2 linked regions of the Arabidopsis thaliana genome follow. The protein of the gene in region 1 interacts with the protein of each later gene in a pairwise test. Each region holds a gene or a part of one and is shown on either strand. Other genes may lie near its edges.

Region 1 (7,613 bases):
CAGTGGCGTTGCAGCGAAACTGATCGCTGCTGGTTCTGGTCAATTGATTAAAGGGATCTTATGGTGTGGGGATCTCACAATGGATAGACTCATGTGGGGAAATGATTTCATGAAGAAGAAGTTGTCCAAAGCAGAGAAGGAGAGACAAGTTAGTCCTGGAACTTTGAAACGTCTCAAAAGGTACGACCTTTATTTGCTTATCTTTGATATTTGTGTTTTAAACTTTTTATCGAGGTTTTGAGTTATATATGTAACAGAGTAAAGAAGATGACAAAAATGACAGAGAAAGTGGCGAATGGTGTGCTCTCTGGTGTTGTTAAAGTTTCTGGATTCTTCTCGAGTTCAGTGATAAATAGCAAAGCTGGGCAGAAACTCTTTGGGCTTCTTCCTGGAGAAATGGTTCTTGCAACACTTGATGGATTCAGTAAGTTGACTATATCGTATATCTCTTATCTATCTTTATTAGGCTTCTGATGATTGAAACTAATAAAGATTTGTTTACCCATTTGTGACAGACAAGGTTTGTGATGCTGTCGAAGTAGCAGGAAGACACGTTATGAAAACAACTTCAGATGTAACTACTGAAATCGTCGATCACAAGTAAGTAACTGAAAAAGTTTACAAGAGAATGTGCTCATACCATGCCAAAAAGATAGTTAATGTTTGGATGTTACTTGTAGGTATGGAGCAAAGACAGCACAAGCGACAAACGAAGGGCTTAGCGCAGCAGGGCATGCTTTTGGAACGGCGTGGACTGTTTTCAAGATTAGACAAGCTCTTAACCCCAAGAGTGCCATGAAGCCATCATCACTCGCTAAAACCGTAGTTAAAACGGCAGCTAAAGAGAGAAAGAAGGGGAAAAAAAGTTCTAAGTAGGCTAATGGACGTTGTGTTGTTTGTATATCAATATCATTGCCTTGGTACATAAGCATTAAACAGACCATAGAGGTTTGAAAATATTAGATTTTGTTGTGTTGTGTTGTTGTTGATGCAAAAGTGTTTTGCTTCTTCAAGAATCATGAGATTTATACAAATATTTATACAATTTTAGATAATGTGTTTGAATTGGTAACCGCTAAATAGCATATAAAGTGAGTATAATTTGTCCCTGATCTCGCAAGTTTCCAATAAAATTGAACAAACCTTTCCAATAAGTCATCTGTATTTGTATATACTGACTGATCCGATTTAATAAGAACAAAATCAAATCTTAAAACCAAAAAGAAAAACCTTTGATCAAAAACATGATAGGACAAGTAATTGTGTGATGATGTCACAAGCTTTGTCGTTTTTTTATGCGACCGGAATAAAATACACGGCGTTTTACAGTAAGTAAAATAGTGTTTATTTCACTTTCAGCCCCACAATTTAAGAGAAATTATCAATCAAACCCTAGTAGTATCTGAATAGTCCTACAAAATAGAATTCGAACCAGCGAGCTTGGTGTTTCTCGAATTCGAAGCTGAGATCCAAATTAGGTAAAGTAGGTCACTTTGTGGTAGCTGTCTTCTACACAAGACCAGAAGAGAGCCAAACAGAGGAATACGCTTCTCCACAATGACAGAAGAATACGAGGTGCGACTTCTGATTTCTAATTCTTCAGCTTTATTGAATTTTTTCTATGTTTTGAAATTCAGATTATTAGGGATCAAATCGGATGTAAAAGCTGTGTCATTTTTAATCTGCGCCATGAAATCAAGATGTTGAATCATTGTTTAAAGGAACAAGTATTCAAATTATGGTTTCTTCAATGTTACTGGAATGGGGAAAACCAATTTATAAAAATCTGAGCTTTAGGATTATTAGTGAATGGTATCACTTCCTTTTTGATCAATAAGAATCATGATTAGTCTTAGATGAGTCCTTTGGCTTTTATCTTAAATCGGAATCCTGTGTAGCTTCGTTGTTCTCTGTTTCTGATTCTTAACCAAAGTTCATGACTTTTGGAGTTTGTTGTGTAATTGTTATTGAAGAGTTGAGCTGATGATATCTTATAGGTTGATGAGCAGAAGCAAGCTGCTGCTGATGTGTTGTTTAGTTATTCCAAGTTTGCAATGGCCTGCATTGGTAACCATACTCGTCCTACTGACATGAGGTTGCATTTGATGAAGGTAAGTTATTGAATTGTTTCAGCCATCTAGTGTGATTTGAGTATGACCACTTTTAGGATGATGACTCTAGCTACTTTTTTTATAGGAGATCTCTGGAATGCCAACTTCTCTGAAAGGAAGAGACTCTTCTAGAGCAGCTTCTCCTGATCCACTTGGCGAATCATCAAGCTCCGGTACTGCCAGGCTAGATAAAACGGATAGTTTCAGGGCACTTTGATTTTAGTTTTTCTCCACTTGTCAGGGTCTCATAAGATATATGCTAGTGGATTACAGGATAAGTATCTGTGGCCGAGGAACCTACTTATCAAGTTTTAACTTTTGATTTCGCCCATGATAGTGTCAAATGTTATTAATGCTGTATTCTCAGATGTGTGTTTCTGAAAAAATAAATGCTATGCTGCTACTTCGAGATAAATATATCTCCCATTTCTTGAATAGAGTATTTACTTATCGTGTATTTCTATGTTATTCCCGAGCACAGAACATGGTTTCTTGAGTCAGATTGTTCGTTATGGAAACCATGAGTCATCAAAAGTTGGAAGGTTATAGCAACCTAATCAGCTATTGATATTCCTGGTTGTTCCAAAAGAAATTTAGTCTTCTCATCCACAGTTCGTTTCTCAGTTAGACTCTGTATCTTTAATTTGGTAACAGTAGTAATTGTTTTTGAGGAGAGTTCACATACTGCGATGTAACATCCATAATTTTGTCCAAAGCACTGAAGCTTGAAAAGGAGCATGGAGGTAACATTGCATGAATCTTTGTATTTATTGCATACATTCAATTAACATTTTTCTCTCGTCCCTTATTGCATCTGCGAAACTTCCTCACTTGCCTCTTCTGCTTGCTTCATAGCATATTGTAAAGATCACCACAGCTGCAGCAACAGCGATTCCAAGCGTCTGCTGCGTCACTGCTGAAGGAATTCTTCTTGGCGGATTAAATCCTAGTTCTGAGAGTTTCTTGTGTGAAATTGCATAGGCTTTGAAGAACATATCCTCGTCCTGACATACACATCAAAATCATTTTTGTTGTTGATGAAACCAGAGAATCATCCAAAGTAAAAGTTTCTTATAATCGTAGTGAAATCTAATCTACCTTTGCATACAGCTTAACAAAAGGGTGGAACTTGGGATCATCAAGTAGAGCCTTGTCGGTTTTAAGTTGTAGCAATCCCGGAGTCTCCCCTTTTAGAAGCTCTCTGAAAAACCAATCAGCAAAAAATGTAAGTTTCAGAACTCTCACTCTCTCTCGCTTTAACTCTTGTGTGACTTTATCGTTGGCTTACACGAAATACGAGTTATCAAACTTGAGAGGGTCCTGTGTCCAAGGACCTTCAAAATCTGATCTCTCCTTATGTGCACGTCCCTATATACAAAGTAGCAACCAAGTTGGTTCATTGGAGCATGTTTAGTGACTGGCGGATATTTTGAAGGATAGTTAGTAATAAGTACCAAAGTGTGACCTCCAGAGAGAGCTACAATGTCTCTATCCAATAGACCCATACGAGAGAAGAGAGTTCTTAAATGTGAGGCACCTGCAATAATCCAAAAGGAGGGCTTAGTCAGTTTGTGAAATAGAATTCCGTTGCAGGAGCTACAAGCTGCAGGAGTAACCTTCATTTGGATTTGGAAGTTCTCCATCGTCCGCGGAATCAGCATCCTGGTATCATATTTCTCAACATTAGTAAACTCACTTAGCAACGATGATTTAACGCATACGCTTTAGCGGTAAGTGTAACTACCTTACGGCCTGGTGTAAATGGGATTGCAGGGCCGCCAGTAACCTCCACTGCAACAACTCCAGCGAGCTGAAATGAAATGAAAGAATCTGTCACGCTAACCATCAAGGGGGAAGAGAGTATTTATGAGTTTAATGGCTTCGAGATGCTGTATACCAATGTTGATTTACCTGATAAAGGTCTGCGTAAGAGACTCTGGGATGCTTAGCCTTTACTTCCTCTGAAATTAGAAACCAAAATTTAGACATCAAAGGAGACAGCAACCGCTTGCAGGTCCTGAAGAGTAGTAGTAACGGATTAGAAGGTTTAATCATAAAACTCACCGCAGAAGGCGACTGCCTTCTCCAAACCTTTGTTGTGTGGACGGTTTAGCTCTTCCTTGAATCTGATAGATCCATTGGCACCTCCGGTTTTCTTCTTGGCATCATAGGTTCCTGCATCATGCCATCTATATGCACAGAAGAGTTGGCATTTGGAAACATCAAGACAAGAAAGAAAAACGGAGAATGATTCTGAGAGCAAAGATCTTACGCAAGACGGAGCATAATGGGAGCACAGTTTCTGGAAGAGATGAGAGCTCGAAGGTCTCTACGAGTTTTCTCTATCTCTTTGAGGTACTCTGCATCAACGTTCACTGCCATTGTCAGAATTTCAAAGAGCAAGCAAAATAACTCAGACCGATGAATAAGATTGAAGAATGACTCAGAAGGATGAATATATAAATAGGATTGAAGAAGAGTTTAGGGGAGAAGAATGTTTTGTCATATGGAGAAAGCAAAGTATTAAATATAGTTATGGGAGAACCCTTTTGCTAATCTTCGCATATATTCAATTTTTCATCTATGCAACTATAGTTTATTCAAAAGTTTTAGTTACCATCCCGTCGCAAGCAGAGCTGGGGCATAACTATCTCGGAAGAAGATTCTACCTAACACTAAACTACATTGGTTGTTTGAGATCAATTTGATTGAAATGATTTCGTTATTGTAATAACAAATAAAAACAAGATAACTTTTAGACATTTTTAGTTTTGAACAAGATATGACAAACATTCTAATCCATAAAGACAAGCGTTTTGGTTCCTACTTCGTATCAAGAGGGCTACTTACTAAGTTACTATTTGACCTTGAGAGACGATCGTTGTGAAGGTGTTACACTAAAATATTAATTATCCACTAATGACGAACAGTGTCCTTAATTTTTTGTTGGTTTGGGGTTTTGGTTGGGTCTCTATTGGCCCATTGGGCTTATTATGAATGCTTCTAGTTTTTGTTGTTGTGTAATTTTCATCTCGGTGTCAACCTGTCAAGTCAATTGTCACCTCATGCACAAACGGTAACTTATTTGAGACGCAAAATTTACAACGGTAAGAAAATATAGACGTTAGAAAAGTAGCCGTTGAAAGAAGAAATCCGAAGCTGCCTATATAAGTGGCTCGTGCTCACTCACTTACTTCCCACAATCATTTCTTCTTCTGTATAATCGCTTACTATTCTCGTAGTTTCAGAAAGCAAAAGTCTTTTTTCTAGTTGAAAAACCAAAGAGAGAGAGAGTCAGAGAGCTCAAAGTTCATCCAAAGTTAATCGAGAGCAAGTTTCATTCCTCTCAACAAAGTTCGTCCAAGGTTTCTCGTAGTCACTAGCCGAACTCTGCTTTTAAGATTGGTAAGAATTCTTAGATGTTTCCTTACTTTTCTACGACTTATGTTGTTGATCGAAACACTTTCATGGTCTATTCTTCTCACTAAAGTTTCGTCAGTTTCAGTTTTACGCATCATACTATTTTCACTTTGTCTAAACTCACATCTTCCTCTGTTTTCTTTTTCGAGTGTTCTTGCAGGTTTCTCTCCAAGCAAATAGCTAGAAATGGAAGGCTCATCAAGCTTCACTACAACCAACGCAAAGAAAGAAAAACAGAGAGCGTTCACCCAATTTCCCCGTGATTTCATTATATACTATCATCGTAATCAAGAACTCTGCTTTGAGACTCTGCTTTAGGGTTTGGTAAGAATCTGATGTTTCTCCTTTTTGTTTGACGAATTGAGCCGTGTATTTTCTGAAACATCTTGATTTTGGGAATTGTAGTCATAATGTTAAAGAGAGTTATTATAGTGTAATTTATCTTTGAGAAATTTCTGCCATCTAAACTGTTTCTGACAATTACAGGTGAGAGAGAGAAGAGATAAATGATCCGTCACAGTCACGACAAACGATCCACGGCAACCTTTGGCGGTGATAGCGGGCTTGTTGCGCCGGGGTATCATCTTGGACTTCCAGTTGACTACTCGCCGTGATGTTCAGGGTTAGTTTCATCAATGCTCTTCTTATATGTCTCTCTCAGTCGTTACTCTGTTAAAAGCCATATAATAAATCGTAGACTTGGTGAGTTATTTGGTCGGATTTTATAGATTAACTCTCTCATTCATCCATATGTAGCTCGTGTATTTATGATTTTTATGATTTTTTGTCATTGCATATTTTCAAACTTGTTAGTAATTTTGGAATGTTGATTTGATAAAACTGATTCCAACTCCACGAATCCTGGTTTATCAAAACTGTGATTGTATCATCGTACACACATCAAATAAAAACTTTTACTTTGAACATTTTCAAATGCTAACTTTTTCCGACAAATTAATTACATGGTTTGTGAAAGATTCCCAACTCTTAACGTTTTTGTTCTCGCTGTCGCAGGTTTTCTTATCAAGGAAGGTTACGTTGACCCGAATAAGTTCATTAGCATAGACATCTTTCCTCACGAAAGGCAAATATGACCAATGTTGACATTTTACATACTCGGTAAAATATTTGTTAGTTGAGATTATTGCAATTTTTGGCAGAAAATATTACCACACTTTGTTGACATACAAATAAGTTCAGGTTTGGTCCATACACCACATTCTCACTAGCCAACATGCAAATTCAACTAACCACATTCAATATCATCAAACATCCTTGAAATTTTAACATAAATTTGGCGAGTATGCGGAAGAACTAGTGCATTACAACTTTATTGTACCGCAATTGGCTGATTGGTTTCATAAATATTGAATCATAACTTAGAGATTTTTTCACATTTGGTGAGCATCCGGAAAAACTAGTAAAAAAATGAATTAGAATAGTAAAACAAATCGTACTAGAAATTTTACAGACAGTTAAAAACACGTATAATTTTAGCCAGTGTTAATTTTTCTTATTTGCATTTTAAACAACAAAGACAAAATACATTATGTGCAACTCCTTTATTTTACTTTTTTGTATACAAGATAAATAAATTAATTTGAATATACACTAAAAAATCAAACAGAAAAAAGAAGAAGAAGTAAAATAGTAATTATTTAAAAGACAACAGAAGAAGTAAAAAAAGTAAAAAGATTGCAAAACAGTCGGAAGGTTGAATGGCTGAGATTAATCGAACGCTTCAATGGCAATTATTTCCGGCCATCACTTTCTTCTCTACTTCTTTCTTTCTCTCTCTAGTTGTTGTTCTCTCTCTCTCTCGCATCCTCCAATTCATCGTCCTCACGTTCCCTTTTGTTTATTCATCTTCCTTCCTTCTTCACATTTCTGATTTTCTCTATTTGGGGGGTTTGTTTCCACATTATACATATCTAGGGTTTTGAGATGGTTAATTGAAAGATAATGGTCGAAGTTTCGGAGGAATTGGCTTCACATTGTGGGTGTTTCTGGCTTCCTCAGGTTTAAATCTGAGGTTGATCTCTTTTGTTTTTTGGTAAATTGTGACATATTTTGGCTCGAAGA
Region 2 (6,199 bases), on another chromosome or scaffold:
TATTTTGTTGGTTTGATTAAATTATAACATTGTATACATATTTTTAATTAACCAGGAGAATTCTATGCCGAAACCTAGACTAATATTGGAATCCACATAAATCCGGGAATTTTTGCCACTAAAAACGTCTAAGGTGGACCAAATTCCGAGGTGCAAGATATGATTTTGTATATCCATTTTAGAAAATTAAGATGTCTTTAAAAAAAAAAATTGTGTTGATGATTTTACTATTGTTAAATTGAAGTAACCTCAATTTTGAGTTTTTTTTTACTGTTTTTTCAATAATACTTTCAAGAGAGAAAACAAAAGAAACAGCAAAGAGCCAAAGATGATTTGAGGTCCAAGTTTTATCATCTTTGCTGTTCTTGAGTTCACTTTTGCATTTCATTCTATCGACTTCCATTCTGCACATTACTTATGTACAAATCTCATCTATTAGTATCGTTATCCTCTATGGGCTTTCTACTCTTCATTCTAATTTACGGTTGGCATGTTAAAAATCTCCAAATTATCTTATCACCGATTTGATTAAACAGTCTATTCCTTCTCGAATATAACAGTTTAAGGGTTTTTTCTTTGTGATTGCAACACTAAAGCCCTGTGGCACACAAAGAAGGACAAAAAAGACTTTAAGAGCCAAAAGAAAAAACCAATTCAAGAAGAAAATAATTCATTACAAAACCATAATAAACATCCATTTTCTCCATCTTTTTTTTCCAGATTTAATGATGAAAACCCCCACAGAAGACAAGGTTGCAATCAGACTCTGTGACACTATTACATGACAGAGAAGAAACATATCCTTCAAGAGTCAAAGCAGCTCAGAGGAAAGCGTCCTTCTCAAGTAGTTTCACCACATCTAGCTGATTGTTTAGCCTGGCCACATCAATGGGATTTTTATTGTCCATGTTTTGCTGAGTTCTGCAAACAGAAAATGAAACGACACTTAAAAGAGTCTTATATAACCATTACTAAGTTGTTTGGAAATCGAATTTGTGTTCTTGTTGTTGCAAACTTACACTGCAGCACCATTCTCTAGGAGGAGGCTTACACACTCTTTCCTTCCATAACCAGCAGCATAGTGCAATGGTGTGTTCTTGTTTTTGTCAATCGCATTTGCATTTGCTCCAGCATCCAGAAGAACCTGAGCACATCTCACCTACATACAAACTCAACCTAGGTCAGCTGGGTTCAAACTTCGGATTAAGCTTTTATAACAACTTCTAATTGCAGATGTAATAATGGCAACTGTCAATTTCCTTTGTAAAGAATGCTACAGATAATTGTGTAATAATCTACTAAGTGAAACCGAAGCTGCTTATCCATCAAGTGCATGATGCTAGTAAATATTGGTAGTATATACTGCCTTCCATGATTCTGTGATAGTGACATTTCGACAGTTTTTTTTGTTAAGGCTTGTTGAGACGTTGACATACCTCGCCGTATCCACATGCAAAATGCAAAGCAGTCCTTCCTTCAGAGTCTTCTTCATCTTTGTTCCCACCAGATGCCAAGGCAGCTTTCAAACCCTGGTTGGTTCAGGAAATCAATGCACAGAGAGTTTATGAGCTAACCTCGATCAATGATTCCGACTTAAGTATAAAATATAGACCGTCAGAAACACGAGAGACTAACAGTGTATGAATCAGTTTACCTCGACATCACCAAGACTAGCGGTCTGGTGAACAATAGACTCTTCCTCTTCCCCTTCTTCGGCCTCTTCAGGTTCAGCTGCAACAGTCTGGTCTGCTCCAACAGCTATACCCATTGCTTCACCCAGCTTTGCCAACACATCTTTATCATTCCAGTACCTAACACCAGTAATCAACTATTAGCCATGAACACAAGTAAACCTAATAATTTATAGCAAATAATGGCATGCTTACTTCATCATAGCAGAAGGACCACCAGCATCAATCTCAGCTAGTATAGGTTTCAATTCAGGATCTTCTTTCATTTGCGCCATACGCTCTGCAAACTGCTCTGATGCTGCAGGGTTACCAAGAGCCTCCAAAAAGGGAGACATTTGTGGATCCTAAACACCAAACAGAGATTCAATGTCATGATCACACCTCAAGTATTGACTAACTAATAATAACAAGAAGATCCGAAAGAGCTTGTATTAAAGGTACCTGCACCAAAGCGTTACCAAGACGCTCAGCCATTGTTCTAAACTCAGGATTCTCCATAACCTGCTGCATTGTCTGCATATACTGTTGTGGATCAAAGTTAGGTAGACCTCCTTCATGAGATCCGGTTGGCACAGATCTCTGAAGCTGCTCAGCTAACTGGTTAAATGAAGGATCTTTAGCTATTTGCTCAGCCAATTCCTTGATACTTGGATCCTGAATAAACAAACCAATCAAACACAAGAAAAAATCCAACCTTTGACTATTCAATGATCATACACCCACAAAAGAGAACTTACATTGAGGATCCCAGCCATGCCGGAGAAATCAAAAGCATTGAAATCAAGCCCAGGATCAGTCGGTGAAGGTGAAGGTGGAGCTCCTGAGCCTGATTCTGGTTTAGTAGTACTCTTACTCTCTTCCTTGGTATCGTTTTTCTCATCTGTTGAAAACAATTTCTCTATATTACTCGAAGAAACAACAACCAAATCGATTCTAAAACTAAAATCGAGATTAACATATATACCTGAAGGAATAAGAGGTGTTTTCTCTGAGCTTGAAGCCATCGGAAAATTACTAAAACCCTAGAAAAAACCAGAAAAAAAATTACAGAGATATATTCAGAAATCGAATCAAGGAAGATCTCTCAGATTGGAATTGAAACGTGATCAGAAAAAATCCAAAAGTATGGTGAAGACGATCGATACCTATCGAAGCTTGAGGAGCTGAAGAACCAAAAATTATGAAAACCCCCAAATGAAAATGTTTTTGTGGCAAAGAAAACGGATATTCTTTCCCTCATTTTTAATTTCAATAATTAAAAAAAATTATATATGGAAAGATGAATTATTATCATTACTATAAATTATTGGATTGGTAAGAACAAGACGCAGTCACGTTTAAGTTTGGGTATACAAGTTTCGAGTCCTTGAGCCCAAGCCCATAAGTGTCTGTTTCTTCTCCACTATTTTTGGTGTTACCATCAAACATTCTTCATGTATTTGAAATCCTATAGATTATTTTGGTGAAACAAGTACTAAGGAGCAAACAGGGCAAAGTGAGAAAAGGGACATTGGCGTTGCTTTTGTGAGGAGAAAGGATAACTCTTCGAGCGGATACCTCCTCTCATGGCGGATCACGGTTACACAAAATGAGGTTAGGTCGCCCGAATTACAAAATTAGGCACGTTGAAGAAGAAAGAACGAGACACTGGCATGTTGTTTGGTGCATCAGTCCTCAGGCTCAAAAACCAATTCTATTCAATCAATCGGACAAATTATAATTTCGAGATGATGAACTTGATGAAATTTCAGCATTCCACGTTTTAAAACGTAACATATGTGAAAAAATAGTATACCATTTATGATTTCGCAGATCAATCACTACTTTTAAACCCAAAACGATGAATGCTTCTTTCTTCTAATCAATCAAACAATCACATGACATGACAAACAAAAGTGTGATTCAGAAGAGAATATCTCAGAGTTTAAGGAAAATATTAACTCATTTACGATTGTTTCAGCTGCATAAGAAAAGTTCAGAAAAGGACTACTTGGTAGCCTGAGCAATTATATTACTTATGGAACTCGCCTCCTCTTTCGCAACTTCCACCAATTGATCCTTCAAATATTATAACACAACATCATTTACACAACCCTTACGGACTAATCGTTTTTGTCTCAGTGGGCATTAGGATTAAGAAACCATACCTGGGCTGATATTATCCTTGCAACTGTTTTCTTGCTTGACTCTTGAAGTTCTCCGGCGATCAACAGCTCATCGAGTATATAATACGCCTAGAACAAAACAACCAGATTCGAAAATTGTCATATTGAAGTAAAATACAGAGAGTAGAGAATCATTGATAGAGTTGAGTATGTATACCTTGTGGAAGTTAAAAATCAAATCGAGTTCACACACCTGAAGATCATAGAATAAACAGCTCTTAATCAAAATCTAGATGTTTTGTAAGGTTATGATAGAGTGGTAGGAGTATATTTTGGATAAGCGTTTACTCACACTGCCAAAGTAGCGGTCAAGAATCTCGACGTAGTGATGAATTATCTCCAGTACCTCTAACTCGTTATCCGCCTCATCAATGCACATGCAGAAGTACAAGCTTGCATATCTGCAAAATTACAAAACCATCATGTTTATAACCATTGTTTTTAAAGTAGCAAATACATGCTACTTATATAAAATATGTCTATTACCTTTTGTAGACAACCTTGTATCCTCTCCATTCAATAAAATTGCAGAGCTTGGGACCTCGGTTCAGAATCACTCCACTGAGTTCACGTATGACCTGTCCAGATCATTTTTCCAAATGTAAGATTAAATAGGCATGCAAAGCATAATGCGGCATTAACTCAATAACACTTAAGCTGTACATACCTTAGATCTTTCCTTCTGCGTATACGGCGAATACCACTTGGTGAGCCTTACTTTCCCTTGTCGACTGACTAGTAACACGAAATGTATCTGAAAATACAAACATAACCCAAAACAGCCACCTTAGAAGTTTTTTTTTTTCTTTTCAAGAAAGCATTATTCTATCATTGTGAATGGCAATACATAACACATTAATTAGTTTTTGACGTCTCCTCACCCATATCAAGCATGAGAAAATTCTAGAATCACAAAGACAGCATCGAGATAAAGAGAATTAAAACAAGACCAGACAAAACCAGTAGTATATATCACGATTTCTGGCAACTCATAAAGATTTGAAATGCACATAATTGCATAAGGCAAGCAAAAGAGGGAATTGTGAGAGATCAAGTACCAGAACTTGAGAATCATTTACCATCATACACCTAAACGCAAGCCACAAGCATCTCAAGAAAAGTTTTTAAACCATTTAAAGATATGGAAAGATGGAGAGATCAACGAGCTTATTTTGCCAATTCAGAAACAGAGGCAAATAAAGAGATGTGAGGTACATGAACTAGCTTAGACCCTATTACATTTGAATCCAAGAAGCTTAATTACTTCAAGAGCAATAGTGGTTCAAAAACAATGAATTGGATTTAATAACTCACAAGAGATTCGAATGGGCAACAGAAACATAACAATTTCAAGCTTCACGAAACAAACTAATCCTTTCACTTCCTAAATAATCGATCAATTCGTAAGCGAGAAAAGAACCGGACAGATCCAAGCAGAAATCTACGGATACCGGAGGATTAGATTCAATTTCATCATCAAATCAAATCGTAGATACTCGATGCAATAGTACAAGATCGAAGGCAGATCCAAAATTCGAACAGATAACAGAGAAGCCCAAAAGCAAAGGGAGTGGCGATTGTTACCATTTTTAGCCGATTGAAGGAAAATCTTTAACAGTGAAGCTCGATTCCCAGAAGAGATCTCCAGAAGCTGATGATCGTGGAAAGTATTCTTCTGTGTCCGATACACATATAAGTTTGTTGGATACGGATCTTGTCCCGGGTCGGAGTTTTTTTTTTTTGAGGGACCCGGGTCGGACTCTTTAAAAATTTACTTTTTATTTATTTTTCTTCAGTTGGTTTTGTATTTACTGGGGTAGTGTTTTAAATCTGGACCGTTAAACAAACAAGATGAGGACTGATCTGACGGTCCGACTTAATCGGATTGCATTTTTACAGATTAAAAATTGCAACAAAATCACAACTTTTTATTAAAAGGTTTAGGCAATTTTTCAAAATGAGATATTATTGTTGTAAAAGTTAGAACAAAGGAGGAAACAAAATATCAACAATTGATGTGCAACCTGAAAATATTGAGAGTAAATTATAACTTGTATGAGCCTCAGCGTCACTATGCATGCATAATAATTTACATTTTTACGTCTATATAAATGATCAAATTTGTCGTAACATAAAATTCATTACTTCAATTGTAAGAGAAGTAATCAGAAATCAATAATAATAAAACTCTTACTCTCTTTGGTTTAAAATCAATAATGATTGTTGGTTTAGCTCTCTGCACAGTCTCTACTGCTTACTTTCTAAGATATCATCAAAGACCCATACACACACATGCCATGAGGAGAGACTTCATTGCCTCAAATGCTTCATTTGTCAAACTAC

Evidence for each region. Proteins that work in one complex are often made in the same cells at the same time.
Region 2: the proteins of APX5 (region 1) and AKR2B interact in a two-hybrid assay, tested with the Arabidopsis thaliana proteins (one study listed by BioGRID).

The regions. Positions count from the first base shown.
Region 1 is NC_003075.7:17,025,531-17,033,143, reverse strand, and holds APX5 (ascorbate peroxidase 5), read right to left. Parts: upstream 4,559-7,613; 5' UTR 4,494-4,558; coding exon 4,384-4,493; intron 4,301-4,383; coding exon 4,176-4,300; intron 4,073-4,175; coding exon 4,023-4,072; intron 3,922-4,022; coding exon 3,856-3,921; intron 3,774-3,855; coding exon 3,728-3,773; intron 3,649-3,727; coding exon 3,566-3,648; intron 3,480-3,565; coding exon 3,400-3,479; intron 3,313-3,399; coding exon 3,210-3,312; coding exon of another isoform or gene 3,201-3,209; exon of another isoform or gene 3,116-3,200; coding exon 2,939-3,115; 3' UTR 2,586-2,938; downstream 1-2,585. Other genes in the region: AT4G35985 (Senescence/dehydration-associated protein-like protein), read left to right, coding at 1-180, 258-424, 516-600, 681-876; AT4G35980 (uncharacterized protein), read left to right, coding at 1,558-1,575, 1,998-2,111, 2,197-2,328. UniProt on the Arabidopsis thaliana protein: Plays a key role in hydrogen peroxide removal.
Region 2 is NC_003071.7:7,552,366-7,558,564, reverse strand, and holds AKR2B (ankyrin repeat-containing 2B), read right to left. Parts: upstream 2,980-6,199; 5' UTR 2,837-2,979; intron 2,714-2,836; 5' UTR 2,696-2,713; coding exon 2,656-2,695; intron 2,572-2,655; coding exon 2,429-2,571; intron 2,346-2,428; coding exon 2,133-2,345; intron 2,036-2,132; coding exon 1,887-2,035; intron 1,812-1,886; coding exon 1,655-1,811; intron 1,530-1,654; coding exon 1,437-1,529; intron 1,160-1,436; coding exon 1,020-1,159; intron 922-1,019; coding exon 822-921; 3' UTR 501-821; downstream 1-500. Other genes in the region: AP19 (associated protein 19), read right to left, coding at 3,678-3,749, 3,839-3,925, 4,014-4,049, 4,149-4,257, 4,343-4,434, 4,524-4,610, 5,441-5,443.